Linked DNA regions of Notamacropus eugenii. The protein of the gene in region 3 purifies or fractionates together with the protein of the main gene of each other region. This does not show direct contact. Links are inferred from orthologs where the notes say so. Each region holds a gene or a part of one and is shown on either strand. Other genes may lie near its edges. The genes, in order: CTTNBP2NL, MAP4K4, STRN and CTTNBP2.

What was found.
Region 1: the proteins of STRN (region 3) and CTTNBP2NL purify together in Homo sapiens (affinity purification with mass spectrometry; 5 studies listed by BioGRID and IntAct, with this or other methods). This does not show direct contact. The link is inferred for Notamacropus eugenii from reciprocal best matches to the Homo sapiens genes STRN and CTTNBP2NL.
Region 2: the proteins of STRN (region 3) and MAP4K4 purify together in Homo sapiens (affinity purification with mass spectrometry; 4 studies listed by BioGRID and IntAct, with this or other methods). This does not show direct contact. The link is inferred for Notamacropus eugenii from reciprocal best matches to the Homo sapiens genes STRN and MAP4K4.
Region 4: the proteins of STRN (region 3) and CTTNBP2 purify together in Homo sapiens (affinity purification with mass spectrometry; 3 studies listed by BioGRID and IntAct, with this or other methods). This does not show direct contact. The link is inferred for Notamacropus eugenii from reciprocal best matches to the Homo sapiens genes STRN and CTTNBP2.

Annotation. Positions count from the first base shown.
Region 1 is NC_092873.1:291,455,165-291,463,125, reverse strand, and holds the start of CTTNBP2NL (CTTNBP2 N-terminal-like protein), read right to left. Parts: upstream 3,002-7,961; 5' UTR 2,918-3,001; intron 2,910-2,917; exon of another isoform or gene 2,780-2,909; intron 1-2,779. UniProt on the Homo sapiens protein: Regulates lamellipodial actin dynamics in a CTTN-dependent manner. Associates with core striatin-interacting phosphatase and kinase (STRIPAK) complex to form CTTNBP2NL-STRIPAK complexes.
Region 2 is NC_092877.1:173,756,282-173,763,645, reverse strand, and holds the start of MAP4K4 (mitogen-activated protein kinase kinase kinase kinase 4), read left to right. Parts: upstream 1-4,361; 5' UTR 4,362-4,449; coding exon 4,450-4,506; intron 4,507-5,061; coding exon 5,062-5,127; intron 5,128-7,364.
Region 3 is NC_092872.1:541,646,663-541,654,301, reverse strand, and holds the start of STRN (striatin), read left to right. Parts: upstream 1-4,623; 5' UTR 4,624-4,714; coding exon 4,715-4,957; intron 4,958-7,639. UniProt on the Homo sapiens protein: Calmodulin-binding scaffolding protein which is the center of the striatin-interacting phosphatase and kinase (STRIPAK) complexes.
Region 4 is NC_092874.1:134,964,173-134,971,518, forward strand, and holds the start of CTTNBP2 (cortactin-binding protein 2), read left to right. Parts: upstream 1-4,340; 5' UTR 4,341-4,390; coding exon 4,391-4,471; intron 4,472-7,346. UniProt on the Homo sapiens protein: Regulates the dendritic spine distribution of CTTN/cortactin in hippocampal neurons, and thus controls dendritic spinogenesis and dendritic spine maintenance.

The DNA.
Region 1 (7,961 bases), on a different chromosome or scaffold from region 3:
TATCAAAGAGTTATCTTGGTAGGTCTACACCAAGGTGACAGGTTCTCAGTCTTTCTCTGAGATGAACAAGACCAAACAGGTGCTGTAATGATGACCAAGACATACAAAATGCCAGTTTTTATTTACTCTGCCAAATAATCCAATAGCGTGATGGGCCTTGGCAATTCATTTCTTTGGCTTTATGTCTGTCATCTTTTTTTGTTCTGCATCTTGATGAGCCTGATCATTCCCTTTGAGTTTCTGTAGCTCTAGTTGAGGCGCCCATGTATTAATCTCTCCATATACTTCTCTATGTACATAGTAAACAACTCTCCAAGTGCTTCCAACCAGCCTCAGATCTTTTTTGCTCTTTCTGATGATTTTTGAGAACAATCTTTAAATAGATCTCTGTAGAAGGATTGAAGGCTCCAAATCTACAACTCACAAATCATTACCCTGGGGAAGTTTAAAATGTACTTTGTAATTGGAATTGACTTTCTCAGTATCCCCTCCACTTTGCACAGTTGGCTGTATAACCTGGGGCAAGTCACTTAAGCTCTTAGTGCCTCTGTTTCCTCACCTGGAAATGGGGATAATAATAGCACCTATTTCACTAGAGTGCAGTGAGGGTCAAATGAGATAACATCTGTAAAGTGCTTTGCCAACCTTAAGGTCCCATAGAATTGTTACCTATTATTATTATAGCACATGTTGTTCAGTAGTGTCCTGCTCTTCGAGACTTTATTTAATGTTTTCTTGGCAAAGATAGTGGTATGGCTTGCCATTTTCTTTCTCAGCTCATTTTACAGAAGAGGAAACTGAGGCAGACAAAGCTTAAGTGACTTGTCCAGTTACTTAACACCCAGCTAGTAAGTATCTGAGGTCAAATTTGAACTCAAGTCTTCATCACTGTAGGCCTAGCCTACCATGTAGCTGCCCTATTATTAGCAAATAATAGGTATTTAATGATGCTTATTGATTTGACTTAGAAGTAAAAGCAATAATAATATCTACGGGAAATGTACACCCTCTGTGACTGGTCCTAAGTAATCACTTTGTCATAACACTACACCAACATTAAGGGTAACTTACAAGTGAAAATTAAGGAAGTAACGTTAAAATGTATGATGAATTGTTACACATGCAAAGTGTTACCCTATTGGATGTCCACTGACAGTCCAATGGCACTCATGCTAATGGAAATTCCAAAATACTAACCACATACCATAAATTACAGTGAGCGGAAAGCACTGGACTAGTAGTCAGAAGGCCTGAGATTGAGTCTTGTCTCTGCCTCTCAGACTACCTTACTTTAGCGGGAGGTCACTGCACCACTCTGTAAAATGAAGAGATTGTACTACAAGATCTCTAAGAATATGGAAAGAAATAAGGGTTGGGCAAGCGGCACAGTGCTGAATTTGATCCGGAAGACCTAAAATTCAGAAAATCCTCTAGCAGACACTAGCAGTGAACCTAAGCAAATCACTCCATCGCTGTCCTCCTCCCTTTCCTCAACTGTAATAATGTAGCACCTCCCTCCCGGATTGTTGCGAGGATCAAATGAAATATGTGTTAACTGCTTAGCTCAGTGGTTATCGGCATAGAGTAGGCGCTTAATAAATGCTTTCTGGAGTGTACACTCAGAATATCCTTTACCTTAGTGGCATATGCAGTTTACCTTGTTCAACGTACTGCGATTCTGCAGGTGAACCAAACTACATCGTTTACCTTACTATATTTTCAACTATAGAAAAGATCTGCAGCATCTAATAGTGGGTGTGGATCGAGAAGAAAGGAACCAAAGGCCATTAAACCAGATTAATCATAAACCCTCCCACCACTGGACCAGGATTTTCTTGAAACACTTCCTGCCTTTTGTTTCAAGATGTACACCTTTCAAGGGGATCCAAGTATCCCAGAGCAACCGGCCAACCTTGGGTCCCTTATTCACATTCCTACAGCGCGTCCCCACGAAGGATCCTAAGTTATCCGCTGCCTGTTTGTATTCTACACACTCGGTCAAGTCCGTCAATTAGCCAACTTGGGCAGCGGCGAGGCCCCAACAAGGAGGAGGAACCTCGAATTCCCCAGGGAATTCGTGGAGGGAGTAGGGAGGTGGAGATCAAAGGCAGCAAACCCCACAAGACCGCAGCCTAAGGACCGACCTGGGCTCCCCCAAAGCGGGGACGGGAGGAGGGAGGGGCAGCTCTAAAGCCCGGGAGACTCCCTTTGCCCAGGCCAGCTACATGGGCTTCCTCCCCGGGCTGGAAGGGGAGGAAAACCAGGGCTTTCGGCTCGAGGGAGAAGCGAGGTCCGGGGGGCCGACTGCCGGGCTGGCATTGGGATGGGGAGGTCTTTTTCATTTACGGACGCAGGTGGGTGTGAGGGCACCGACCGAAATGGGGAGGGGACAGGGAGGGAGGGACCGAGTTGGGGCAGGTGGCGGGCTGGGGGGAGGGGACTGTCGGGGCTGAGAGGGGCGAGGGGCGGGGATGCGGGGAAGCCCTCTTCCAGAGAGGGGTGCAGAGGGGAGGGCTCCCCGTAGGGGGTGGATGGGGAGCGGGGGAAGGGGTCTGCGGCTGGACAGGAGCTGGGGCGGGCCCGGGGATCCCCTCAAAGGTTGGGGCGCCGCCTCCTCTAGGAATGGGGGGCGCGGGCAGAGAAGGAGGAGGGCCCCGCCCCCTCAGGGGATGGGGTGCTAGGGACCGGGGTGGGGGGAGGCCGGCAGTCCCACCCTCACCTTTCTCTCGAGACCCCGGTCTCCCCGCAATCCCCAAGTGCCCGGCCCAGTGGCTCCTACCTCTTCCCCGGCGCTTCGGGCTCCGCTCCCCGCCACCTCCGCCTCCCGCCTCCCATCCACGGTCCCTCGCCTCCCCTCCGCCTCCTTCCCTCCCCCCGCCGGGTCCGTGCCTTGACAGCCTCCCGGACCAATTGTCACCTCAGCCTCGCGGCTCGCTGACCAATGCCCGCCGGGCGGAGGCGGGGCTTCTCCAATGTCATTCAGGCTCCTCCCCGGGCCCCAAGATCCCTTTTGTTTGGGGAGAGCCGGGCAGGGATTGAGCTCGCGTCACTTCCGGCGGGAAGAGCTCTCCTCCCAGCCTGGCGCGCGGCTCGGCTCTCGCGCCCCATCCTGCTGGGCTCCATCGCCGCTCGCCGGGCCGCGGCAGGGGGCGTGCATGCCTTCGCCTGGTCCTCGACGGAGCGGGAAGGACTTGGCGTTCTTTCCCGGGATGATGTTCCCGGCTTGCAGTTGTGCCCCGCGGGGCTTGGGCTTTAGGATTCGGATTCCATCGCCCAGCTCACTAATACTCTCATTTGTGATCTCCTTCTGGTACTCACTTTAAGAACGAGACTCTTCTTTGTCCTTGGCTGCCCTAGCGGAGATGCCTTGGGAACGGCCAAGGGGGACAGCAGATCGCCCTTCCGGTCTGGACCTTGGCCTTGCCTGCAGCCAGACCCCACGTGTTGGCAGTGGGAGGGTGGTGGAAACTGAGTGTGCAGTGGGATGGTCCCATAGAATGCAAATGCCTTGAAGGCAAAGACTGATTTTTTTTTTTTTGGTACCTCCCAAGGTTTAGCGCTGTCAATAGACATGGATCCCACCATGTGCTATGGGGATACAAAGGCCAAAAAAATAATCCTACCCTCAAGGAGCTCAGGAGGGTGACAACGTGCAAGCAACTATGTGAAACCCAAATATAGATATGCAAACGTGGACATATGTCCATATGCCCGTATGTACGTAAGTGGGGAAGTAGACATAACCAATATCTTGGGAAGATTCAGAGCCTTCCATCTTCCAAAGTCCTGATTTCAAGTTCCGTCTCTTGAAGGACATTACTGATGAGATTGAATTAATCTTGGTCAGATCTTACCCCACTTGCTTGGAATTTAATCTAAGGTGGGGGAGCCCATTGTGTTCTACTCAAACTTGGGTGGAAGTAGATCCTTTGGTCTAGATAGCCCAAAGCTGCGGGTGAACTGAGTTTGGAGATAGTTTCTCTCTCCAAGGGTAACATGATGTCACTCTCAGCCCCCCATTGAACACCTCTTCTTTGAAGGGTATATGAACTGCGAGCGCACTGCCATGATTGTTTTTGCTCCAAGGGGGCCATCTGCACTGGTCCTGATCTATATCTTGCCAATGGATCCAGATATCTGAGGAGGAGAGAGTGAGGCTGGTGACTTTGCACAGACTTCCCTCTCAAATCAATTCACTTGCAAGTCATGGCATCATCTTTCTGATGTCTTGGTTCTCTTTCAGAACAAAGGTCAAACAACATCTTTGGTCTAAGAGAGACAGCCAAAGGACTATCCTTTTATTAAAAACTTGCTGACCTTATTAATAAAATGATTAAATTACCCAGAAACTATGCTTCTCAAACTTTTTAATCACCACAATATGGAACTCAATCTAATGCAAACAACTATGCAAAAACAAGATATATGCACATGTCATATATGTATATACATGCTCACATGTGTATGTGTAATACATATACACACATATCCTATGATAAACAAGAATTAACCAATAGAGGGAAAACACTAGATTTAAGAGGAATTTGGAAGGCTTCCAGTACAAAGTAGGATTTTAGCTAGGACTTGAAGGAAGTCAGGGAAGCCTGGAGGCAGAAGTGAAAAGGGAGATCACATCAGGGATGGGGGACAGCAAGTGACAATGCTCAGAGATAAGAGATGGAGTATCTCTCAGAAGAACTGCACGTAGAGTATGGAAAGTATGAGGAATTGTAAGATACAAGTAGACTGGAAAGACAAAGAAGACTGGAAAGACAAAGAAGACTGTGTGGGGTGGGGAGGGCAGGAGGGTAGATTATAAAGGGCTTTGAATGCCAGATAGATCCTGGAGGTGATAGGGAGCCATTGGAGTTAATTGAGTAGGGGATGTGGCATGATTGGAGTTGCATTTTAGGAAATCCACTTTAGTGGATGAATTGAGGATGAATTGGAGCAGGGAGAGACTTGAAGCAGACATATTCACCAGTGGGCTGTTTCAATAGTGGCCTAATTAACACCAAGAAAACACAGGTGCTCTATCAGCCATCAGCACACCATCTATACAAATGGAGAAGCTTTGAATGCTGTGGATAAGTTCACTTACCTTGGTAGTGTACTTTCCAGGGATGTACACATTGACAATGGGGTTGACGCACACATTGCCAAAACTAACTCAGTGTTTGGGAGGCTCCAAAGAAAAGTTTGGGAGAGAAGAGGTATTGGACTGACTTCCAAGCTGAAGGTCTACAGAGCTGTTGTGCTGACCTCATTGTTGTATGCCTGGGAAAAATGGACAGCCTACCAGTACCATGCCAGGAAACGGAATCATTTCCATTTGAACTGTCTTAGGAAGATTCTGAGGATCACCTGGCAGGATAAGGTATCAGATGCTGAAGTCCTTGCTTGAGCTGAACTGCCAAGTATTCAAACTATGCTTCAGAGTGTGTAACTCCTATGGGCTGGCCACGTTGTTTGAATGCAAAATGTACATTTGCGACTGTTTTATGGAGAACTCACATGGGGCAGGTGATCACATGGTGGTCAGAAGAAGTGATACAAGGATGCTCTCAAGGTCTCTCTCAAGAACTTTAGATTTGATTATGGGACTGGCACAGGACTGCTCAGCATGGCATGCCCACATCAGAAAGGGTGATGTGCTCTATGAGCAAAGCAGAATTGAGACAGCACAAAGTAAATGTAGAATGTGCAAATTTGGAGTATCTACCCCAAATGTTCACATGGACTATCTGTGCCCAACCTGTGGTAGAGCATTCTGAGCTCGTATGGGTCTGATCAGCCACAGTTGGACACACTGTAACTTGAGTTTATCATAGTAATGTCATTTTGGTCCTCGTGGAGAACCAAGGACAACAACCAACCAACTTCAATAGTCTAGGTGTGGTTAGGTGATGAAGTGGATAGAGTACCTAGAGTCAGGAAGACTCCTTTTAAGGAATTCAAATTCAGCCTCTGACACTTACTAGCTATGTAACCTTGGGCAAGTCACTTTTCCCTGTTTGCCTTAGTTTCTTCGTCTGTAAAATAAACTGGAGAAGGAAATGACAAATCAGTCACAGTATCTTTGTCAAGAAAACCCTAAATGGGGTCGTAAAGAGTTGGACATGACTGAACCCTCCCCAGCTAAATAACAGTGAGACAAGGGGGTGAATTTGAGAGATGTTGCAAAGGTAAAATCCAAAAGGTAAAAAAAGGTAAAAATGTTGCCTTGGCAACAGATTGGTGTGTGTGTGTGTGTGTGTGTGTGTGTGTGTGTGTGTGTGTGTGTGTATGTGTGAAAGAGAGAGAGAGAGGATCCAGGATGACTCTTACTTTCTTCACTTTTAAAATGAGAGAATTGGATAAGATGATCTGTACTATCCCTTCTCTCTCAACTATTTTTATGATAAATTTTTATACTTTTAAATCTGTCTCTCCCAAACTTCTATCACTCTTTCTCCTACCCCCCACACCCAGGCCAAGCATAAGGGATATGTAGATCAAAAGGACCTTAGATATACTCCAAAATCTAATCCCCGTTCTATAGTATCAGCCCTTCAAATAATTCAAGACACCTTACCAAGGGTTTCCTCCGTTTTTATGGACTGCTTGGAGCACAATCCCTGCTGGTGCTTGGAAGACCAACACTGAGTGATAGAGTAAAGATGTCGTGAGTGAAATTGCTTTTATGAGTACAATGGAGGTCAAAATCTCAGGATTCCATGATGGAAGATTACACCATCCAATCTGTTTCACCGCTATATTAATAATCACAAGAGGGACAGAGTAAGAAAGTATAGTGTAAACCTAACAGGACTAAACAGAAAAAAACTATTCAGTATGACAGCCAACTTGTTTGTGGTGGCCTAATGGTGTCACCTTGTATATGAAGGACAGCAAATTCATTCATGGATTATCTAATTCTTGGATGCTTCTGGATATAGCACAATTGGTAAGGGAAGGATGACAGAATCAGAGACCACCCTTCTCTGCCCTTTAGTCTGCTATTTGCATTCTGATTCGAGGGTCCAGGGAGGGGACTGGAACCTCAGTTACTATACTAGAGGCTGCTAGGAATATAAAAATGAATGTTATGGATCCTGACTTAAGGATTCTTATAGTAGGAAAAAGAGGGGGAAGAAAATGATTGAAATGTTCAAATGCAGGTTTTTCCAAAAGTTTTCGTGCAGTTTTAAGTTTTTAAAACTTAAAAGACTTTGGGGATACCTTGTATAGGCTAGGTGCTGGTATAGATATAGGTCCACAAATAGTTTCATTTCCTTCTCCTCCCATTTGCTCTGCAATGCAATGAGGAAGTACCACATTCCTTGACAATGGGGAGAAGCCCTGGCTATTTTCTGCCTATTCCTGAATCACCAGGAGAGCCAGCCCGGTGATTCAGTCTTTCCTCCCCACACTCGTTGCCATCGACCTCTCCACCCAACCTTTGCTCCACTGAAAGCGGGAGTGGGAGTTCTGTTCTGTGACTTGTTTCCTTTGTAACAACAAGCAAAGTCTTCCCATACTTCCAATGAGTTCCCTTCCTGTCTCCTCCTGGACTTGTGTGGGAGAACCCCAACATGAATGATATCAGCTCTGTTTGGTGTTTTCTGGTTACTCCTACTTTTAATTTATTACTCCAGGGGATAGTGAGTGGGTGGGGATAGTACACCCTATCTTCTAACAAAGTCTACAGTTGGCAGAGCCCAGGCTTTAAATGCTTTAGAGGGGAATAAAAAAGAAGCAGAAAGCACTTGGGCCCTTAGGGAGTACCCAGTCTTATGGGAGTAATATGACCCCACAAAAGCACTTTATAAGGAAATTTAGAAACAAATGCAAATGAGCACATGCCCTACAAACAGATAGTATCTTAATAACACCTTAAGGTGGGATACTTACTTTTTCAAAGTATTTTCCTATCACTTACTTCTTCCAGATTTACAAATTACAAAGCTTAAAAAAAGCCC
Region 2 (7,364 bases), on a different chromosome or scaffold from region 3:
CATTAGGAAGCATTAGAGAGGGACCTTACTGTTGGTAAACTTTAAAACACTATAAAAATGTCACCAATAATAATAACTATAATTCTGTATAAGAATATGAGGCGAACACTAAACACTTTAATGAGTCATGTTTCCTGACTTTGAAGTTCATTTCTTTTTCCATTATTCCAACATGGGTAAGGAGATGAGTTTCTTCTTTATCTCTTACCCTTTTTTCCTCTCCCCCTTCACCTCTGCCTCACAATCCAAATCAATCTAATTTAATCCAATCTAATCCACTCCAATGCAAGAAAAATTTATTAAATTTATTATTTATTATTATTTATTAAACACCCCACTATAAGCAAAATATTGGAGGTAAAAAGACAAAACAAAAAAGCAATCTTTGCTTTTAAGAAACTTATTTGCTTATACAACATGAAAACAATTGACTATTTCACCTCTCATTCCAATTAATTCCCAAATCTTCTACCTTTCCACACCCTTTCAAACTAGCGCAAATCTCCAAAAGACCCTAACCTCAGATAGTCTCTCTCTTATCTCCACAGATCTACTTCCCTCCACCCTACCCTTGCTTAATCCCTTCATAGATTGAAAATATATTTTGACTATGGAACTCCTACCATTTCTGCAATAAAGGAAAAATTAGGAAAAAAGTCAAGTAACATGTGTAGATGTAGACTGCTGGCCTAATTGGATACTATTGTGTTATTGACAGTGCATTGTTCTGAATGGGTGAAAATTTATTGCCTGTCTGTCCTTCTGCAAGTTGTGAGGAGGTACATTTACATTTGACTGCTGGCTAAACTCATTGGGGCCATCTCCTAGACCATCAAACTTCTGACTATTACACCTAGGATATTTATTTTCCCTTAAACTTTACTAATTCTCAGAATTTCTGGGTTTTTTTCCCCAGTCCTGTATGAGCCTGAGTAGGTCACTCAATGTGTCATTTTCACATCTCATTTTCTTCATCTGGTCCTATAAGGGCATCTAACCTTATCTCCAACAATAAGCCTTCATCTCTAGGGAAAAAAAAAGCTAGTCTCCCTATCAAAGTCCTCAGCCTAGTTTTCATTTATACTATTTCCCTTGCATAAGATAACCATCTGGCACTTAATTATTTTAGTGCCTTGCATTGTTAGTTATATTTTTATGTATTCTATATTTTACGTCTTTCACAGTGAAAAGAGTATGAAAATAAGAAGATCTGGGTTTTCATTCCAATCTGTCACTTATTACCTAGGTCAGTATGTGACCATAGGCAATTGGTTTAACCTGTCCTATCTTTATCTCTAAAATGGGGATAAATACACTCTTATCAACTCCCTCCCTAAATTCTGATAAGGAAAGAACTTTTTAAATTATTAGGAGTTATAGAAATGCGAGTTATTCCTTTCTTCCCAGCTGTATTATAAACTCCAGGAAAAGGACCCTGACTTATTACACACCCACAGGGCCTAGCACAATGCACTTCACTCTGTGGTTTTTTTGGTAACTGTTTTACTATTTCAGGAAACGTCGGGCATGCTTTATCTCATTTCCTCCTCTGTAGCCTTGTCCTTCACTACTGCCACACTGCTGCCAAACACAGGGTACATTTTCCTTTCCTTTTCCAGTTCTGTAACCTTTAACTATGAGCAAATTAAATTCTGCCGCTCTCCCAGAATGGGATACACCCATTTATTTCTCTATGATTCTACTTATTATCCCTGCCAACCAAAATAGTCCTCCTGTATTGTCTGCCTTTGTTGTTGTTCAGTTGTGACCCCATTTAGGGTTTTCTCAGCAAAGATGATAGTGTGGTTTGCCATTTCCTTCTCTAGCTTGTTTTACGGATGAGAAAACTGAGGCAAACTTGCCCTGGGTCACACAGCTAGTCTAAGAGCAGATTTGAACTCAGGAAGAGATGTCTTCCGGACTCCAGGACCAGAAAGCATTTACAGCCATTGTGCCACTTAGTCTCCCTCTATTAGCATGTAAACTCTTGGAGGACAGGGGCTAGTCTTTGATTTTTTCCTTTCTATCCACAGCAATGAGTACAATACTTGGCACATATTAAGTACTTAATTAATTCATTTTTCATTCATTCATAAATACTTGTCGGTTAATTCCTACACACAAGGAGTTTACAATTAAAATCAAACTGACAGACAAAGCATGTACATGCCAGTTAGTTGTAAAAAGGCAAAAAAGTGGTAAATGACAAGTCCAGTTCTATGAGACTTTGGAAGGGGCCATTCTAGTCCACAGTGGTCAAAAAAGACTTCTAGGAGATAGGATTTGAGCTAAGCCTTGACAGAGTCCAGACAGAGGAGTAAAGAGGTCTGTTATCGGAAGTAAGGGAGGAGAGCGTGGCCTAGAGATGAAGAAATTTGAAATTATGGTCAAAGGAAGGTGACAGATCTGTTGGCCATATGGAGTATTCTTGGTGGCAGGCAGTGGGAGATCAAGTTGAACAAGTCGGTTAGAGGACCAGATTATAGATGGTTTGGGATGACAAGCTAAGGAGTTTATCCTGTACCCTGTGGGCTACTCAATGTTTTTGAGCAAAGGAATATTACAAGGAAAAACTGCCTAGGAGAGTACAAGCATATGGCAGACACTCAATAAATTCTTGTTTAATTGGACTGAATTGCCTAACTTCCAAGTGTACTGGTAAGGTTACCTTCAGAGCCAGTTAAAAGACTTTCTGAGAAGTTCCGACTCCCTACTCTGGCCACAAAAATATTAAGGTTCACACTAATAAGGCATCACAAAGAAAAGTTAGAATAAATACATCGCGGGTCTATTTTGATCGTTGCTACTTTACTAGAAAATCCTGTGATGAAATAAACTTAAGGAAAACAATTGAGATAGAACAATATTTAGGAACCATGAGCGGAGGTCTGAGAAGAAATAAGCTCATTTCTCCAGAAGGGGAAAGTGGGAAAAAGAGAGGGTGGATTTTGCTCTCAGAAGATTCTCCAATCCTTATAGAGAACACCAGCAGGCCCAGCCAGCCTCAGTGGGACACACCCACCGCCCGAGGTGTTGGAGGGGGAAGGAAGGGGTTAATCCCGTTCTTGTTCTTTCCTGGGGAGCCCAAGTGTTTTCTTTACCGTTAGGGATTTCTTGTTTGTTGCGTTTCTTTGGGGGTGCTGCTGCTCATTTCCAGTGTTCAAAGCCTTAAGCTCGGTGCCCCGGAGCACATGGTCCGGACCATGTCAATTTCCTTTCTCTGACAATTACAGAGCTCTCCTGATTTTCACACTGGTTTTCTCTGGGATCTTCCCGTCTGGGAACACAACGCACACAGACCCTCTGCCTTCGTTATTATTTCTGTAGTCGGCCTTTAAACCCCCCACCGCAGCCTAGCATTCTTCTCCAGGTCCGGCCAGGCTGGAGAGAGGCCGGGCACGCCTCGGCGGCCCGGGACTCACTTCTCTATTGTTCCCCGCCACACCCCTGCTGAATATGGATACATCCGAGCAAGTAGCGACTCCCAGACCGACCCGGAGAAAGGAACTGCTCAGGATTTTTCCTTCTAGTTTACCCAGAAGTGCTTTGGGGCGTGTGAGTGTGTGTGTGTGTGTTTCCGCTGGCTTTTCCTGTTGGAGAAGGAAAGGGGGAGCTGTTTTCTCTCTCTTCTCATAATCTAGTTTTTTGTATCCTTTCTCTCCTCCTCTTTCTCCTCCTCCTTTTTCTCCTCCTCCTCCTGGGTTATCTTTGTCTGGCTCCCTTGGTCCCTGAACTCTCCCCAGCGCCGCAGCTCCGAGTCCTTGGCCGCTGTGGATGTGGGTGCCGTGCCCTCCGCTGCACCGGCGGCACCGGGAGCAGCAGCGGCGGGGGGGCTAGCGCCGACAGGCAGCCATCGGCGCTGCCGGGAGCCGAGGCTCGCCCAGGCCGGAGGGGAGCCGCCGTCCGAGGCCCTCCACCTTCCTCGCCCGTTTGTCTGGGAGGAGGAGGGGGGTGCAGATGCGAGCGCGGCCGCTGGGCGTGGAGGAGGCTGAGGCTTAAGCCGGGAGTGGGGGCAGAGCCTGGGGGCCGTTGCTGCCACCTCAACATGGTGTAAACCCGCCTCCGACGCCCCACGCTCCCAGTTTCCTCTCTCTTCCTACACACACACACACACACACACACACACACACACGCACACTGATAGACAGACGGACAACTCAGATCGGGGGAAATAAAGGCTCATCCCCGGGCAGCGAGCTATCCGGCGGCGGCAGCAGCGGCGACCGGACCGGAGCAGCAGCAGCAGCGGCGGCCGGACCGAGCAGCCGGAGGAAGATCCGAGCAGCAGCAGCGGCAGTCGCCTCAGCGCCGCCTCCCAATGAGGAGCAGCCTTGGGCTGGCGGGGCTCGTCTCAGTGTGAGGAGCTGCTGCCATCGACCATTAGCCCTTTATAGAAACAATTCCAATTGAATTTCAAAAGCATATATCTATTTTTTGCAAAAAGAGAAGATGGCGAACGACTCGCCTGCAAAAAGTCTGGTGGACATAGACCTCTCCTCGTTGCGGGTGAGTGCCAGCGACAATGAAGCCGCCCCCCCCCCCCCTAATCCTCCCGTCTCCAGCAGGGTCCCCCCTCGCCTGTGCTCTCTGCACCCTCACTCCTTTCACACACACCCCCCCCCCCCCCGCGCGCCCCGTGCCCAGCCCTCGCGGGTCCAGCCGTGTGCGTGTGCTTGGGGCTGGGGTGGGGGTGCCGCCTCTGCCGGCCTCCCCTTCCTGCCCCGCTCTGGGTGGTGCTGCCGGGGCGGGGGTGGGGGGGGGGAGAGTTGGAGGCTGCTGGGTTGATGCTTTTCCTTTGTTTGCATGTATTGGCATGTGCGTGGAAAAATTAGGGCGCAACAGCTGCACCCAACATCCTCCCGGCTCTAGGCACCGTTGTGGGTTTTTTTGCAAGAGCCCCCCCCCCTTCCCCTCCATCCACCCTCTACGTACACTTGGACATAAAGCAAGTTCTTTATTCCTTTGCTTTAAAGGCCAAACTAACTTCTTTTGTATGCCTCTCATCTTTCAACTCCCCTCCTAAAAAAATAAAAACCAAACCCTCCCTTCTTTCCTCTCCAGGATCCTGCTGGGATTTTTGAGCTGGTGGAAGTAGTTGGCAATGGCACTTATGGACAAGTCTATAAGGTTGGTGTCTGAGCCCTCTTTGTTTCCCGTGACATTTTGGGGGAGGGCAGGAGGCGACTTGGCTGCACCAATTGGTCAAGTAAAGTTTGGTGGGTTTCTGTATTAGTGCTTTATTTTCAGCCCCCTCCCCCCAAATATCAGGTTTACTGTCTCACTGGCCTTAAAGGACCTCATTTTCTGACTTTCAGATAGGGAAAGAAACTATTCTCTCAGGCATGTACTTTACTTGAATAAGAACGGGGGTGGGGGGGGGTGGAAGAACGGAGGGAAATGTTTTCATAAGGCAATTTCATTTTTTTTTTTTTAAGACTACCCAGTTGAGTTTGTGTAGCTTAATTAAAATTCAGGAATGTTGTAATAGGCAGGCATTGCTTACATTCATTTTAAAGCACTGCCTTGGCCTTCCTGAAATTGTCATCTTGTCTCCATGTTTGAACCTCTTCCAAGTGCTCAAGGTGCAGTTTGGTATTAACTGATGCTACTTTCTAGTTTAGCTTGGTGTACATCATGCAGTGTACTGACTGAAGGCTACCTTGATTGGAAGTGGCCTGGGGTGGGGCTGAATGGGGACAGGGACCACTGTCCAGATTTAGGCAACAAAAGCAGGAAGGATTATAGTGTGAACATTATAAAATCTGAATTCCAGGAAGAACCTGTTTGACAAGTGCATAATTAAAGCAGAAATCGGGGAGAGTGAGAAGTGTTTCACACTCATCCCAAGTCTTATTTTGTTTTTTTTTTTTAAATGAACAGTGAATGCGACAGACAGGTCTTGAGACTGCATGACTGTGCAATGAGTAGCAGCTACCTGGTGTGACTAACAGTTATCGTATATTTTAACTAATACGTGGTCTTAAAGAATAAGCTGTAGCAAATAGTAGTAGCTTGTTTTATATAGCACTATAAGGATTTGCTAAGCACTTTCCACAAAACTCTGTTAGGTAGGTAATGCATTTATTGGTATAGGATCATAGAACCTGAGCCAGATCCAGTCCAACCCCCCTCATTTTAAAATGAGCAAAGAAACTCACAGATATTAAGGGGCTTGTCCAAACCTCACATGTAAGTCTTAGAACAGGGATTGATACCTAGGTCTTCTGACTCTGGGACCAGTGCTCTACTAAACTATACTACTTGAGAAATAGGAACAAAGCCTTGAAAACTGAAAACAAAAGGTTACATTCTCCTTTCCAGTAGTTTTTTTAATCACTTATATGACAATCCATTCTTGTAAAAAAAAAAGTTGTATGGCTATTTTCTTCTAGTGAACAAATGTATTTGAACAGGAACATTTTTCGTTATATAAATATTGAAACTTGAGTTTTTGTACTTAAGGTTAGAATCACCACCATGTGCATTACTTTGTCTTATTTTAAAGATAGTTTGGACATTTAGAATCTTAAAAGCTTAGAGTATTAGAGGTGGGATTCTTCAGGTCAACCCCCTCATTTCCAAGTGACTAATCATTTTTTCTTCTTTACATATGTTTCTATCACCTGAGTTCTCTTCAGCCATGTCCAGTACTGTGATTGTGAGCCCTCTGCAGTTAACACATTAATGGATATTTGTGAATGGTCTCCATTCGTTGTGTTCACTCATCTAGGCCTTGGTAGGGCAATAGGAGGACTGTTGACTACTGTAATCTGCTTTCCATCTAGAAACAAATTTGCCTAATTCAGTTTAGAAGTTTTGGGAAAGTGTATTTTTCCTAGTGTGTTGTAACTTCCGAAGGCCCAGATGACTGGCTTAAATGGACTTAACGACATACAGAGTGAACACTCTTTTCAGGTCAAATCTAAGTTGTGAATGGACACTTCTAGATGATTTTGCAAAAGCATGTTGTTTATCTGTTTATCCAGTTCAGTTTTGTTTTTTAGAGAGTGGGGTTAGGGAGTAGGGGACCTTATGGGAGCTTATTTCTGTTAAAGAAAGCAGACATCAGCCTGGTTTTAAAATAGAACTCAATGAAAGAGAGTAGATTAACATGAACTACAGGTAGGTCATGTGGGTCTGCAGAAGCAAGGTACTTGTTAAAATCATCTGATGCTGGGTGAGGCCTTTTATTTCAACCGTTAGAAATAAGGTTTAGACATTTATTGTTACTAAAACTCTTTAGGTTGCAAGTAATTTGAATTTTTTGCCCTCCAGATTCCTTACTTGTCTCTGTCTCCCTCTCTTTTCTCCTAGCTCCCTTTGGATTTTGAAACAAATTGGTTGAATATTACATTTGGGCTGTA
Region 3 (7,639 bases):
GTGATATTCTGTAGTAAATGGCATGTTTGCAGTTTTGTAATTGTAAAAAATGCAAAGTCCCACTTCTTATTTGTTGCAGACAACATGTATACATGTAAATATATACAACATAAATACAAGTTAATTTTTAAGGAAAAAACACTAGCAGCTGGGGAGATCAGGAAAGGACTCCTCTAGGAAGTAGGATGAGTTGAGCTTTGAAGTAAACTAGGGATTCTAAAATGCTGAAGGGAGAAGAGTATATTCCAGGTGGGGGCAGGATATGAAATGTGTATGAGAAATGGCAAGAAAGCCAATTTGGCTGAATCACAAGAGTATATTAAGGGGAGAAATATATCAAAAATAAGAGTAGGTTGAAGTTAGGTTGTGAAAGGCTTTAAATGCAAGCTTATATTTGATCCTAGAGGTAAGAGAAAACCACTACAATTTATTGAAAAAGGAAGTGACATGGTTAGACATGCTTTAACATGCTTTCTTCTCTGTGTGGACTATTGGAGAGGAGAGAGATTGGATGCAGGGGGACCAATTAGGAGACTCTTGCAATAATCCAAGTAAAAGGTGGTGCAAGCCTGAATGAGAGTGATTGCTGTGAGTTGAAAGAAAGGGATAGATGTGAGAGATGGGTAAATACAATCACAAAATTTGGCAGCTGATTAGATATGCAGAGTAAAGGAGAATAATCAAGAAAAGCAGATGTGTCTACGTGACTGACAGAATTTAGGAAGAAGGATGAATATGGGGAGAAAAATAATGAGTTTTGTTGAGGTTATGTTGAGTTTTAGGTTCCTAGCAGACATCAGTTCAAAATGTCTAACAGGCAGTTGATGATGTAGGACTGGAGCTCAGGAGAGAGACTAGGCCTGGGTATATAAATCTGGGAGTTAATGGTGAAGAGATGATCATTGAATCTGTGGATTTGGTAAAAGGAGAAGAGGTTGCCTTTGGAGTGCAACCACAATTAGGGAGTAGGGTATAGATAATGTTTCAACAAAGAACACTGAGAAGAGGTAGCCAGACAGGTGGACAGAGAACTGAGAGAAAGGAATGTCACAAAAGCCCAGAGAAGAGGGAGTATTCAGGAGGGAAAAGTGGCCAATGGTGTCAGATGCTGCAGAGAAAAAAGCAGAGGTTTGAGAACAGGTCGTCAGATTTGTCAATTAAGATATCATTGGTAACTTTGTAGAAAGCAGTTTCAGTTGAAGCCAGATTGCGAGAGGTTGAGAAGTGAGTGAAAGGAGAGAATGAAATGAGAAGAGAAAGGGACCCAGGATAAAGTCGGGAGGCAACAGGTATAGAAAGCTTCTAGGAAGAAGCTTCTTCTCCCTGAAAGGTTGGAGGATGATAATATGAGTGAATTGTAGATTCAAATGAGCATTTTGGTTTTTTTCAAGCATGTCTATAGGAAAAGAGAATAGATCTTGAATAGAGAGATAAAAGGGAAATGCTTGTGGGAGTGAGATAATATGGCTTACAAATGAAACAACTCATTTATTATGGCATACAAATGAAGCAACTGATTTATTCCTAAATATATAAAATGAATAAAAGAATAGATATCAATATATACTACCACCATTTGTATGAATCCTGGTTCCCAAACATGATCTCTTTACTAAGCAGAGAAATGGAGGATGCAAAAACCATATTGATTTAGAACATCATTTATAACATAGAGGATGGTGGTAGAATATTGTGGCATAGTATCATATCAAAAAAGTGGGAATCAGTTGAGGGAAAAATCAGGTTTATGGAAAACTTCTTGAGAAGACTCAAGCCAAATCATCAAGAGCATTTAAGGACAAACAACTAGCTTATGAGGAATGGAAAATATCTATCAAGATTTCTATAATAAACTCTTTTCTATATCAGTGACAATGGAGTCACAACATTTAGATTCTGTTATTACAATCCCCTTTGCACTTTATAAAGAAATAGAAATGGCACTAAATACATAAAAAAGAAAAGTACAACTGAACTAAGAGCACCTAAGTGGCACAGTGGATAGAACTCTAGGTATAGAGTCAGTAAGACTCATCTTCCTAAATTCAAATCCAGCCTCAGACACTTCCCTAGCTGTGTTATCTCAGGCAAATCATGTAACTCCTGCTTGCTTAATTTTCCTTATGTATAAAAATAGGAACAAGAATGTCTATCAGAATTGTTGTGAGGATCAACTGAGATAAAAATTGTAAAGTGCTTAGAGAAGTGCCTGGGAAAGAGGAGGTGCTATATAAATGTTAGCTGTTATTATTTTATGAAATAGACCAAGTAATACACAAGGAGGTCTATTATGAGGATGTTGAGGGATCAATTCTCAAGATTTCTGAGAGAAAGACACTAAAGACTTGAAAAAAATCTGGCACCTTTTTATGCTGTTTTAAACTCTAGTCTAAATCCTAGTCTTTTAGTTTTTGCTGGGTTAGTCCCAAAAGATCATTCCTTGCCTCTCACTCAGAACATTAGTGTTGAGCTGGCTGCAAATGGGATGTCAGGGTGCCTAGTTTCCAATCCCTTCACCTAAAATGGAGAACAAGTTCAGAGGCCTAGGACCAAGACCCATTTTAATGAGTTACATGTTGGTCTTACTGAGGAGGTTCAAGCCCTTTTCCTTTAATAATAATAGCTAGGATTTATATCATCTACATCAAGCATCTTACACTGACAAAGTGCTATTGTTATCCCTGTTTTTGCAGTTCAGGAAACTGAGGCTAACAGATTAAGTGACTTCTCCAAGGTCACACAGCTAATTGTCTGAAGCTGGATCTGTACTCAGGACTGATTTGTAATCAGCGGAGTCCAACCAAAAGCAGCTCTTCTGAAACATTGTCAGAAGAGAGTAGGCTGAGGCTGACTCAGGTCATTTTGGGTACCCCAGTTCTGCCTACAGAGACAACTGAAAGACTTCTCTTAACCATTAATTAGAAGACTGGAACCATTTACAGAGTGTCTATATATGCTCCACAGTCTCTCTAAGCCACTTCCATTTCATATTATCTTGGAATCAGGATGATTCCAGGAGCAAGTTCTCCAATCTCTTTCTCATGGGGAGATTCCAGCTAGCCAAACATCAAATGTACTCTACCAATGGACCATTCATGGAAGAAATTTAATTTTATTGGATAATATTCCCTCCTTACTATGTGCATGGGCCTTTACTAGGGCTTTGGAAGGAGTTGTCAGAAGAGGTGATCACCAAATTAGGAGTTGGAACAAACAGTGATACTGGGCTAGCTTTCCAGATGACTGGAGCAGGAGTGAAGCCCTCTAATCTTGGCAGAAAGGAAGAAAGTGATTTCCTAAGTTCATACAGGTTTTCAGCTGAAAGGGGCCCTTAGGAGATCATCTATTCTGCCATCTTTCCAGTATTACAAAAATTTCAGTTGCGAGTTCTAGATGTGTAGATTCAGACTTAGGACCTACATGAATGACTTTGACAAGTCAATCACTTAGGTCTTCAGTTTTCTCAACTATCAAATACGGGAGCTGACCTGGAAATTCTCTTCTACATCCCAATCTAAGATCTTATGAATTAGCCCAGCAGTTCTCAAATGTTTTTATAATTAGTATTACTTTACACTCTTAGAAATGATTGAGGACCACCCTCCTCTTTGGGGTTCATGTGGTTTATATCTACTGATATTAACCATGATAGAAATTGTGTCTTATTATGAAACTAAAATGTTATCATGAAAATAGCTTTGATCTCGATTATCCCCTGAAAGGATCTCGCTGACCCCAACTGGTGAGAGGACTTAGAAAGCCTGGGTGGGCTTGGGGTGTGGGAAGAGAACGGGAATTAAGGAAAATCCTGCCAAGGTTTGGAGGGAAGTACTCCTTCAGGTCAGTGGAGGCTTCAGAGACAACATAAAAAGATCAGGCCGGGAATGGAAAACAAAACAAAACTCGTGACCACCATTTTCGTGACTTTAACTGAAATTGACGCAGCAGGGTAGAGAGGGACCGGTCCTGGGACCAATTCCCAAGACGAACTTTCGCCTAGAAGGAGGACCAGCCAGCCAGTATAACCCCGGGAAACGACAGCTCGTGGGGGAAGAGCCGAGTCGTCGATCCTTTGGTGCGTAGAGGGATGTGATATGTTTGTCTCCGCGGATCTGCGTGGGTGCATGTGCGCGACCGTGCGAGAGAGAGCGCTGTCACAGACGACTTCCTTGGGGTGAGGGTGCGTGTGCTACTTAGTTAGAGACGGAGACCGAGCGAGCGCAGAGCCCGCGAACTTCCGTGGGTGTGGGTATGTGCAAGAGAGCGCGGCCCAAGAACTTCCTTCCGTGCGTGTCGGTGTGTGTCCCGAGAAGCGGCCCGCACCCGGCTCTGCCAGGCTGAGGGGCGGGAAGGAGGACTAAGAGGTCTCCGCCACAGCTAGGCTCAGACAGCTGGAGTCTGCCAGCGCTAGTTTCTAAAGAATCCTTCCAGGCCCCCTAGCCCCTTTCCCAACTCCCGCCGATTAACGCCGCCACCCCGAGACTACATTTCCCAGCAAGCCCTCGGGGCGCGCGCGCTCTGCAATTGACCCATTTCCCGGCCCGTCAGCAGCTCGGGGGGCCGGCCAAGCGCCCGGGCAGCCGCTCCCTGCTGACTCGGAGTGTGGGCGGGGAGAGGAGGGCGGAGGGAAGAGGAGGAGGCGCCGTTGCTGCCGTTTGCCTCGGCGGCTGCGAGAGCCGGCACCGGTCCGCAGCAGGCTGCCGCCACGGCCGCCATGGACGAGCAGGCGGGGCCCGGCGTCTTCTTCAGCAACAGCCACCCGGCGGCAGCCGCGGGCGTCAAGGGGCTCGGGCCCTTGGCAGAAGCGGCGGCCGCGGGCGACGGGGCGGCTGCGGCGGCGACGGGGGCGGCCCGAGCCCAGTACAGCCTCCCAGGGATCCTGCACTTCCTGCAGCACGAGTGGGCCCGCTTCGAGGTGGAGCGCGCCCAGTGGGAGGTGGAGCGGGCGGAGCTGCAGGTAGAGACCCTCCCGGCCCGGCCCTCCTCCTCCCGCCTCTTTCCTCCCTCCTTCCTCCCTCCTCGCCCCGCCCCTGCCGCTTCCTCCCAGCCTCCCGCCTGTCCCCTCCCCCTTCCCTCGGTTCCGCCCACCCCGCCGCGAGAGCCCCTTCACCTCGCCCCACCCACTCTGCCTCTACCTGCTCTAGTCCCCGGCCGCCCCTCCCGTGTAATGGAATGAAATGATGTTTGTGGAGCGCTGGGCGCGGCGCCTGGACGGAGGAGGCCCTTGGGAAATGCCTCTTCCCTGCCCTGCCCTGCCCCCCCCCCCCCCCCAAAGCTGCTCCCCCGTCGTCTCCTGGTCCTGCTCGGAGCTCGGGTCTTTTCCTCCTTAGTTGAAGATTGATAAGCAGGGTCCCGGACCGCTCCACTTCCGAGAGTCATGCCCCGCGTCGGGGGGCCAGAGCCAGAGAGCTCCCCGCAGGGTTGAGGGGTCAGCGCTTGGCCAGACGTGGTGTTTTCCTGTAGATTCTCTTCTCGGTGAAAGAAAGGAAATGAGAGGACAGATGAAGTTGTATGGCCAGAGGTGGGAAACGGAAAAGGGAAAAAATAGTATCTTCAGAAACAGAAAATTCCTATATATTCGAATCTCTGCCTTATGCCGCAGTGCGTTTCACCCACTGATTTTAGATCCGAGATGTCTGAATGAATGGAGGGTCAGAAGTCAAGTTCTTTACTTAAGGGAAACTGATTTGTTAAGATTTAAAAACAAAAAAAACCCCCACACCACAGATTCTCTGGGGGGAAACAAACAGAAACCTCGACCAAATATAAAAACTTTTTGTCAAGAGGTTTTTTTCCAGATTGAATTTTTCTTTGAAGGAAGTTGAGGTCTGTTAAAGGGAGTCACATTAGTGATAGGCTGTACAACGCCTTGTTTTGAGATAAGATATGTCCGCTCCAGACTGGGTGTTCACAGGCTTTGCACAGTTAATCCCTTCACCGTGCCTTAAGTCCTGAGATAGAGCGATCTTTAATAACTAAATGTTCAGTCCTGTGGTAGGCACTGTCCTGGGGATACAGAGAAAGGGGAAGAAAAGAGGGGGGGAGGTTCTGGCTCTCAAGGAACTCATCTTCTAGTAGGGGAAACACCATGCAGATAATTATATAGAAGGTACCATCTAAATGAAAAGTAACTCAGCAGGGAAGACCGGAGCAGAGGGGGGATGAGAAAGGCCTCTTGCAGAAGGTGGGATTGGGTTCTCTATGTGCCTGCTATGTCTTGAGTATAGCCTGTGGTTCCTTGATATACAGTTTACCTACTTACGTGGGAAAAGCTGAATAGTACTGTGGAAAGAGGACAAATTTGGAGGGCACAAAACTTGTGTGTTTGAATCCTGCCCCCTTTACTTCCTGTCTTGACATGGGCAAGTCACAGCTTCTCTGAGCCTCATTTCCTCATCTAGAAAACAGGGAGTGTGTGAGGATTAAATGATCTCTTGTTTTCATTGCAGCTCTAAATCTATGATCCAACAGGTATGTCCTGTTTCCTTGATAGAATATAAGTTCCTTGAATGCAGATCGTCTCATTTTTTTATTTTGTATCAGTATTGCCTAGCCCAGTATAGATATTTAGTAAATGATGAATAAATACTTGTTGATTGGATACTCTGGAAACAAGGATATCACCAACTGAATATCACCTTTTTTTAAAAATGGCAACTTTTCCTTGTTAGTCTCCAATATAAGTGGTTTGTTCAAGTGCTCCCAATTACTGCTTCTAAACAATCTCATTCCCCCACCCACAAAAAAAACCGGTTAAACAAAGCAACTTAAGTGATAATAACTTGTTTCTATAACTTTTATTTGGGTATTTGCATTTTAATTGAACGTAATTGAAGAAGAACTGCTGTACTTTAGCTGGAACTTTGATTGTACCATGTTGATGCTTTCACCATTTGATATGGCTTTTTTTTTTTTTTTTTGGTCTTCCTTATCTTTCCTGTTCCCTCTCCTTCCCTCCACTTACTGACTAGATCCTAACTACTGAACAGCCTGGAAGCTTTGTAAAGCTCAGAGTTCCCATGCAAGTCCTGTGGCATGTAATATTTAAAAAAACCTATGGATTTCTAAGTTTTGAAAAGGCTTTGTTTAACTTTACAGAAATCACAGGGTGGGTGGAAGCATACCGTGGGGCTTATCTTTTTAGACTTTAGCTTCTCGTATGGGGACTAGATGATCTTCATAATTCCTTTTAATTAATATTTGTTAATAAAAGACCTCAAGTTTTGGACTTGGCGAGTTGAAAAAGCATGAAAGGATATATTTTGTAAACATTATTTAGTTTAATTTTCAAAAGTTTATAAGAACATATTGTGTTTCAAGTGGGTCAGCTAGATAGCATAGTGGATAGTCAGGAAGACCAGAGTTCAAATCTTGCCTCAGATACCACTTAGTGACCCTGGCCAAGTCACTTAACCCCTGCCTAAAACTAGAGAAGGAAAAGGCAAACTACTCCAGTATCTTTGCCAAGAATAGATACTTGGTCCACAGGGTCATGAAGAGTTGGACACGACTGAACAACACCAACCAAAAAATGTTTTAAGCTCTAAGCCTGGTATAGAAGACACAATAATATAATACAATAAACATTTATCAAGTGCTTACTATATGCTGGGCACTGTGCCCACTGGGCATACAAAAA
Region 4 (7,346 bases), on a different chromosome or scaffold from region 3:
TTAACAAATATCTAAACCACCTGTGGATAATCAATGGTTGACCATTATGAAATTATGAGATGTTATAAAAATGAAAGTAGGGGAAGGAACTTTATTTTTTTCCACTACCAGAATATGTATATGTATATTAATTCCAAGTGCTTTGGGTTTTGCTCTTATAAAGCAGATACAAGAAGCTCAGGTCTCAGATGCTTTCTTATTTAGTGTTCATGAGAAAACGAGTGGGGCTCTATCATGTCAGATGCCAGGGAACAGAGAGGAATGACAGTGATCTGGTACTTTATACATTTTATTACTAAAACTTTGATGAGGTAGCCTGAGTTGATTTGTTAATCAGTAATTTTGTCCTTCAACAAGCACAAAGTCTGAGTAAAACATGGTTTGCTCTATAGAGCTAATAACACCTCCCCTCCCCCAATTTAGTGTAGTAGAGACCACAATGATTACAATCTTCTTTATGGAGGGAGGTAATCTTTTCTGAGATCAGTGGAGAGTCTTTATTTCAGTATAAAATATTGGGAATCCTAACGGCTTTATCATATGGAACTATCTAGGTTGTTCAGCTTATTTAGTTGGAGAATAATGCCAATTAGGCCAAGGTCATGGGTTCAAGGAAAGAAAACAAAAAAATTCCTCAGTCACAGACTGAATTGTTGACTCCAGCCTGTCATCACATAGGTCACAAGGAGGACTGGTTCAATAGAAACTTATCACTACTACAAAAACAAATCCAAATAACAAATCCCAGTCATGTTGGATGCACATACAGGGGAGATTAGTTGGTTCTCCAGTATGATAAATAAAATTCATGATCTTTTCATTTTAATGTTAAATGTAACCGATTTAAAAATAAGATTCATTCTTATTCATTGCCTTCTCCTCCCCCTCCATCTTTGCCCTGCTATCTTTCCAAACTTGCCAATGGAAAATTTACTTCTTTAACATTGGGATGAGTTTTCTATTTAAGTATTTAATGAAGCTTCAGAAGATTTAATTTACATAACCGGTCAGTGTTTCTTTTGATTCAGTGCCACCTCACATTAATGGAAGGTGTGCTTTGTGCAAAGACTCTGAGAAAGGGTTAATTTTCAGTCTCCACACGAGCTGATTCTCAGAAGAGAGTTTAAACTAGCTAGTCCTACTGGTGATGCTGCACTAACTAGGCCATTTTAGTAAAAGGACTTAATTTATAGTGGTCTGACAATTGAACGAGCAAAGCAAAATCCTTTAAATCTCAAGAACAGGAAGGTTAAAGCAGGGCAAAAAAAAAGTTGTCAATTAACCAGTGTACAAGTGGGATTTTTAGAAGTGAAATTACCTTTATTTGTAAGTTCTCTCCTCTCCTTTGATCAAGTTAGGGCTCTTGAACTTTCATTCTAGGGCTAATTCTGTTTTTATAGCCTTAATGCTAATGATTCTGATTCATGACACTGAACATTTTCATTGGGGTCACCAAAGAACCCACAAATGAACCCACAAACGTTTAATCTCAATAACAACAGCATAAACTCCTCAGATGGTACTTCCTGAAGAAATCATGTTACAACATTAAATTATTTCTAGTTCTTAACTCCTCCCTGAAGGTTTTCCATTTCAGGAGTGAGATAGTTAACTCTGGATTATAATCCAACAGCAATACAAGAAAATTGACTGCTTTGTTTTGCAAGCAAATGTTTCCTGAAAAGAAAGAGGAAACTTCTTTCATTTCTCTTAATTCCAAGTTCTTCAGTAATATAACTTTTACTTATTAGGTACTGTTGTATTATCTTGTCGGCAGAGTTTGTATTCTAGGGGAAGGCATCAATTTCAGAGGAATATTTCTTTTTCTTGAGAAACAGGGATGGTAAATCCAAAGAGCTAATGCCTCAAAGAAAAATAAAAAACTTGTATTTATTCAAGAATTAATTATGCCTCAATCTCTTCGCTGAGAAAGATCACTTGACTGATCGTTAACCTGAAATTTGGTTTGAAAATCTTCCAGAAGGTTGAAATTAAAGAGTTAACACTTTTTTAGGCTATGAATCAATTCCAGTTCAAGACCCTACAGGAGAGATTTTCCCTGCCCTGGTTTGTGTTAGATTTGGGCCCAATTTGTAAATTTAGTGAGTAGAGTGTGAAGAACCTATAATTAGAAGTCCCAATATGGATATGTACCTGTCTAAAAAAGGAATATTGGTCCCAGTTAGTCAGAGCCCAGGGTTGGAAATTATAATCTAATGATCTCTTAGAATTTCAAGTCTATTTTTTCCTAAGGAGTCAATAAATGCTAGTCCATTGCTACTTTACTGAAACACAGTTTAGATGCTTGGATTTGATTTCATGTTTTCAACACATTTTTAGGATATCTAGTAATTCTGACCATATGGTCCTGATAAAGGGATAGATTTGTAGGACATGGTAGTTGGCAGGAAAGGGCATGAACTGAATCAGATGGGGGGGGCAAAAGAGTATGGAGCAAACTAATATTATGCAAGATCCCTTGTGAATTATATAGAAAAAAGTGATCTTTTAAAAAATATTTTATAAATTTGTATTAGAAAAATCTTATAAAAATGATGTCCCCCTCCCCCCATTGTTAGTATTTCAGACTACAAAGTTAATTCCTTTTATTTTTTTTTTCAGGGCTAATCATTTAGTGATCAGAATGGAGAGACCAATGCCTGGCACAAGATGGAGCTTCATATATGTCTGTTAATTGATTGGTGGACTGGAATACTAAAAAGACACACTATGATCCTCAGGGCAAGATCAATAGGAGTACAGTCAGAGGCTAAATCTCTAAGACCACAAAGGTTGAGATGGCTCAGTCGGTACAAAGCAGAACTAGGATTAGAATCCAGATTTTCTGACTCCGAATTTAGCGCTTTTCCCACAACATCACACTTCCTCTAAAATGTTTAAGAAGTGAGGTAGACCAGTATCTTGTCCCCATGAGAGGACTCTTTGGCTAGGGCTAGAATCACCCGCATCAACAAAAAATTAACATTCATACAACACTGTAAGGTTTAGAAAGCTAATTATCGCATTTTCTATTTAACCAGCACGGACGGTCACACCCTACAATAGTATTATCCCCATTCTACACTTGGAGAAATAGAGACCAAGTAACTACAAATAATACCCTAACAGACACTAGTAAGTGTCTGAGGCAGAACCAGAAAGCTGATGCTCTTGGCATCAAATCTCTACCCAATGCATAATGACAGAAATGGGAAAGACTTTAGAGGGAATTTTTAGATGAGGAAACAGATCTAGGGAAGTACTGGTCCAAGGACACATAGTTTCAAAGTTCGGTTTGAAACACGAGTCTCTTGACTCTGAGCCCAGTGCGCTGTCGGAAGCTGTGTCTAAAGTCTAAGTGATGAAGTGGGATGGGCAGTAGAGGATGGCTGGCTAATCAATGCAGGGGGGAAGCCTCCTGGATATAAAGTCTAAGAACCATGGTTCAAATTCTTCATTTACAGCCCATGACCTTGAACGCGTCACTGCATCTCTGGGCCCTCCTTCTGGATCTGTAGCTTTAAATCACGGTACTATGAATAGGAGACCAGGAGAGAAAATTTCGGTTTAGAATTGGTGGCCCTTGGGAGGAGGGAAAGAGTCGATCCCTTTGAGAGATGGGAGGTTTGACAAGTGACTTTAGCCGAAGGGATAAAAGGAAATTTCCGAAGATGAAAACAAAGCCTTGTCTTTGGGGTAGTGCCGGGCTGGGAAGGGAAGGCGATTACTCCTGACCTCGGTCAGAGTCAGGTTTGGGAGCCCTGAGATCGAGTGTTACCGCTGCGCCGCTGTCCCGTAGGGGGTCCTGTCAGCTTCTGCCCGGTGCCTCAGACTCCCCATCTGCCTCGGGGACAGACCCACGACCTAGAGCCCGGCTTATTCCTAGTCCGTTTCCCTGCAAAGAGAAAGGAGTGAGGGTGTGCTTTGGAAAGACTTGGGCTGTCTTTCAAACTGAGGAGGCGGGTGTACGATCAAGGTCACCCCCCTCTCCAGAGACCCTTCCACCGGGATGCCTGGCGGCGTGGGTTCCTGCAGCCGGAAAGAAGGGAGGCTCGCAGCGCGAGAAAGCGGGGGTGCCCGCCTGCACAGTGCCGCGGGCCCCTCCCTGGCACCCGGGCGCCGCGCTGGGCTGGGCTCCAGCGCACAGCGGGTTAAGGCGCAGCGGGGGCGGGCAGGCAAGGGGAGGAGTGTACCGTGCTTTGCGGGCCGGGGGTGCGGAGCTGGGAGGTGCGCAGAGCGCGGCGCTCCCGACTCCTTCCTCTCCTCTGGGTTAGTCTGTGTGCCCGGCTCTCCGGCGCGCAGGGGGTTAAGCGCCTCCCGTGCAGAGCGAGGGGGCCGAGCTGGGGAGCTGCAGCTCGGTGCTCGCATTCAGATCCGCTAGAGCAGGAAGATGGCGACGGACGGGGCGAACTGCGAGCCCGACTTCTCCCGCCACCCGGAGGACCCGGCGGGAGCCCCGGCAGCGGCGGCGGTAACCGAGCTCCTGGGGCGCGCGCGTTGCAGGCGGTGGTTCGGGGTTCTGGGGCTTAAGGTGGCGGGTACCGCGATCTCCTGGGCTCTGCAACCTTTTTCCCTCCCGGGAATACCTTTCGTCCCCACGCCACACCCCTGCGACTGGAGGGGTGGGGCGGGAGGTGGCCGAGGGCTGCTCCCGACCTTCCCTCGCAGCTGGAAAGCGCCGGGTCCTTTCCTCCTGCCTTCCTCGGCGGGGACTCCCCCCGGGGCACCTCTCCGGAGCCCGCCCCTCTAGCCGCCCTCACCCTTTCCCTCAGCTTACTCTCCTCGGTCCCACCCTCTTTGCACGCCCTCCTCCTCTTCTCCCCCAACCCTTCCCAGTCACCCCAACCCCTGCTGGTTTGGCCGAGGCTGAATTGTGGTGTGTAGCAGCGAACTTGACCCCCTATTGTTTGCATCTCTGCTGAGCGCGTGTTTGTGTGAGTGTGTGTGTGTGTGTGTGTGTGTGTGTGTGTGTGTGTGTGTGTGCGCAGGGGCGAGCCTTCGAGCTGGGCGCTTGTCACTGGCCAGCGATCTCGGAGATTCGGGGAAGGGGAAGAGGATGATGTCTGGTTAGGTGTAGGACAGGTGTGCAGAAGCCTATTGTGTGTTTGAGGATGCTTGCAGATGCCAGTGGGGAAAGTCACCACAGAAATCCACGGGTGCATTGGGCTCGGGGCTGCCAGTGACCGGGCATTGGCACTGCCTTTGACTCCTTGAAACCCCTCCTCACCTCTTCCCATTCCCCCTTTTAGGGTTGTACTGACAGAAGCTGGGGGTGAAGGGGGGGAGAGAAACAGCGACCAACGGAGACTGAGACAGAGACAGGTTCAAGACGAGGTTTTGTAGTTAAATCGCCTTTCTCCCCCCCCCCCCCCCCCCCCATATGCCCCGTGGTACCTGTCCTTCTCCTCCCCCGCCTTCATCTTTGTACCTTGTGGGTGGAAATCAGAGCAGGTGACAAGCCCCTACTGTTGAATAGAGCTGAACTCCACGTAATGGGTGGAAAATGTTTTCAGTATTTAAGGAAACAGCCTGGCTGTTTAAAGCCGCGTGGAGCCTGTTTAAAAAAGAAGGGGGAGAGGGGGGCCGCAGCTCTGCCTGCCTGCCCTTGGCCCTTCTCTTACTTCAGTTATCCAGTGTGGGGTTCTGATGAAGTGAAGGACATCAGAATTTCTGTTAACTCTTCTGTCTTGTACCATACACTTCCTTCTTGATTCTTACTGCTTAAACTGAGCTACATTTCAGTCAAAAGCAGGGGACAGGGCCAAGAGTAAACAGATACAATCTTTTCAACTTTCCCTAGCTAGCCTGCTTAATGTTATTTCCCTCCCTTAGAACCTTACCACTGGTGTAGGGAGAGAAGAAGGAAGGGGTGGGTGGGGGTGAGGGTAACAGGGACCAGGGATGGAGTGCCTCCATGGCCCTAACAAGAACTGAAAGGAGAAATATACAAGAGAAGGGACGATTTAGAAGAGAGCAGTCGGAGAGCTATTGATTTCTACTTCTGCAACTGCTAGATTTGGGTTTCTAGACTTTTAGAAGAATCCCTGTATTGACGTAGGAAATTTGTTTAAAAAGGCATTAAGATTGCCAATGAAATAGTCCAATTTATGATGTGGAAAGAAAACCAGTAGCCGCATGTGAAACACAATCGAGACTGCTTTTAAGCCAGAAAGCAATTGTTTTACTGAAAATGACCAGGAATCTTCCGGTGTGATGATGGATAAGGTAAAGTAGTGAAGGTGAAGATTTTTTTGATCTCCTTGCGTACTTAGAATAGGCTTCTTTGTTATGACTCTGAGGTCTTTAATCATCTACTGAAAGTAAAGCCAAACATAAACACTTGATTATGGACTCTATCTGATTGATATATTAGTTTAGGCCATAAATTCAGATGGTGATGGTTAGGTTGATTTTTCATGATGTTGTTGCTAGTTCTTTTTTTTTATTGTTTAATAATTCACAAAATCCCAGGAGTGGCTTGTGTGTATGTATGTGTGTGAACGTACAATTAGTTTGAGGTTTAATCTTGAGACTAGCCAGAGAAAATCTTAACCTGCTTTTTATTTCCAAAGATTCCTTTAGATTAGATATATTTTGGTGAGATTAATCATTTAGCCTTTTACAACTTTTTTTAAGTAACCCTTTTTTTAATATCTGGGAAAGCTTTTTTTTCTTAAAAATGTTTTTTTAAGATTTGTTTACTCATTATGTCAGCCACTCGCCATTGTCAGTTTAGTTGATGGCCTGAAGGCTAATTTTAAATTAAAGAGGAGCTGGAGAGGTGATATTTTCACACAAATGCAATTTATCACCCAGTATTTAAAAGCAAGAGATATTTCACACTCCTCCATATTCCTGGCTGATTGAGTCCTTTTTGCTACGTTTTAAATTCTGTATATTTTGGAAAGAATGGCTCTTTATATCTTTTTTAAACCCAGTTTCGTTTTATTTAAAATTGGGTGTGTATTTCTTTTGCTAATGATGACTTAAGTGATCCTTAAAAGCAAATTAAGTTATTTTTTGGAAGTTGGGTGTTTTTTTTCTGAAAGTTGATCTATTTGGATGGTTGCCTGGAAACAAGTTGAATTTATAGTTTTTCAGTTTAATATGATTTCCAGGGGAGTGTTTTTAATTCAGGTTGTGAAAGTTTTGTTTAGCTATTTAAATCCTAAAAACCTAGCCAGTGCAATGAAAGGGATGGTAACGATTAAGACTGCCAGTATTATTGGTGCTATCATATCAGTTATCAAGTGCCGTCAACCATCCCAGGAGTCCAGTGGTGTTTTCAATTCCTTAGCCAAATATTGTTATTCTGGGAATTCATATTATCATTCCACAGTGGAAAT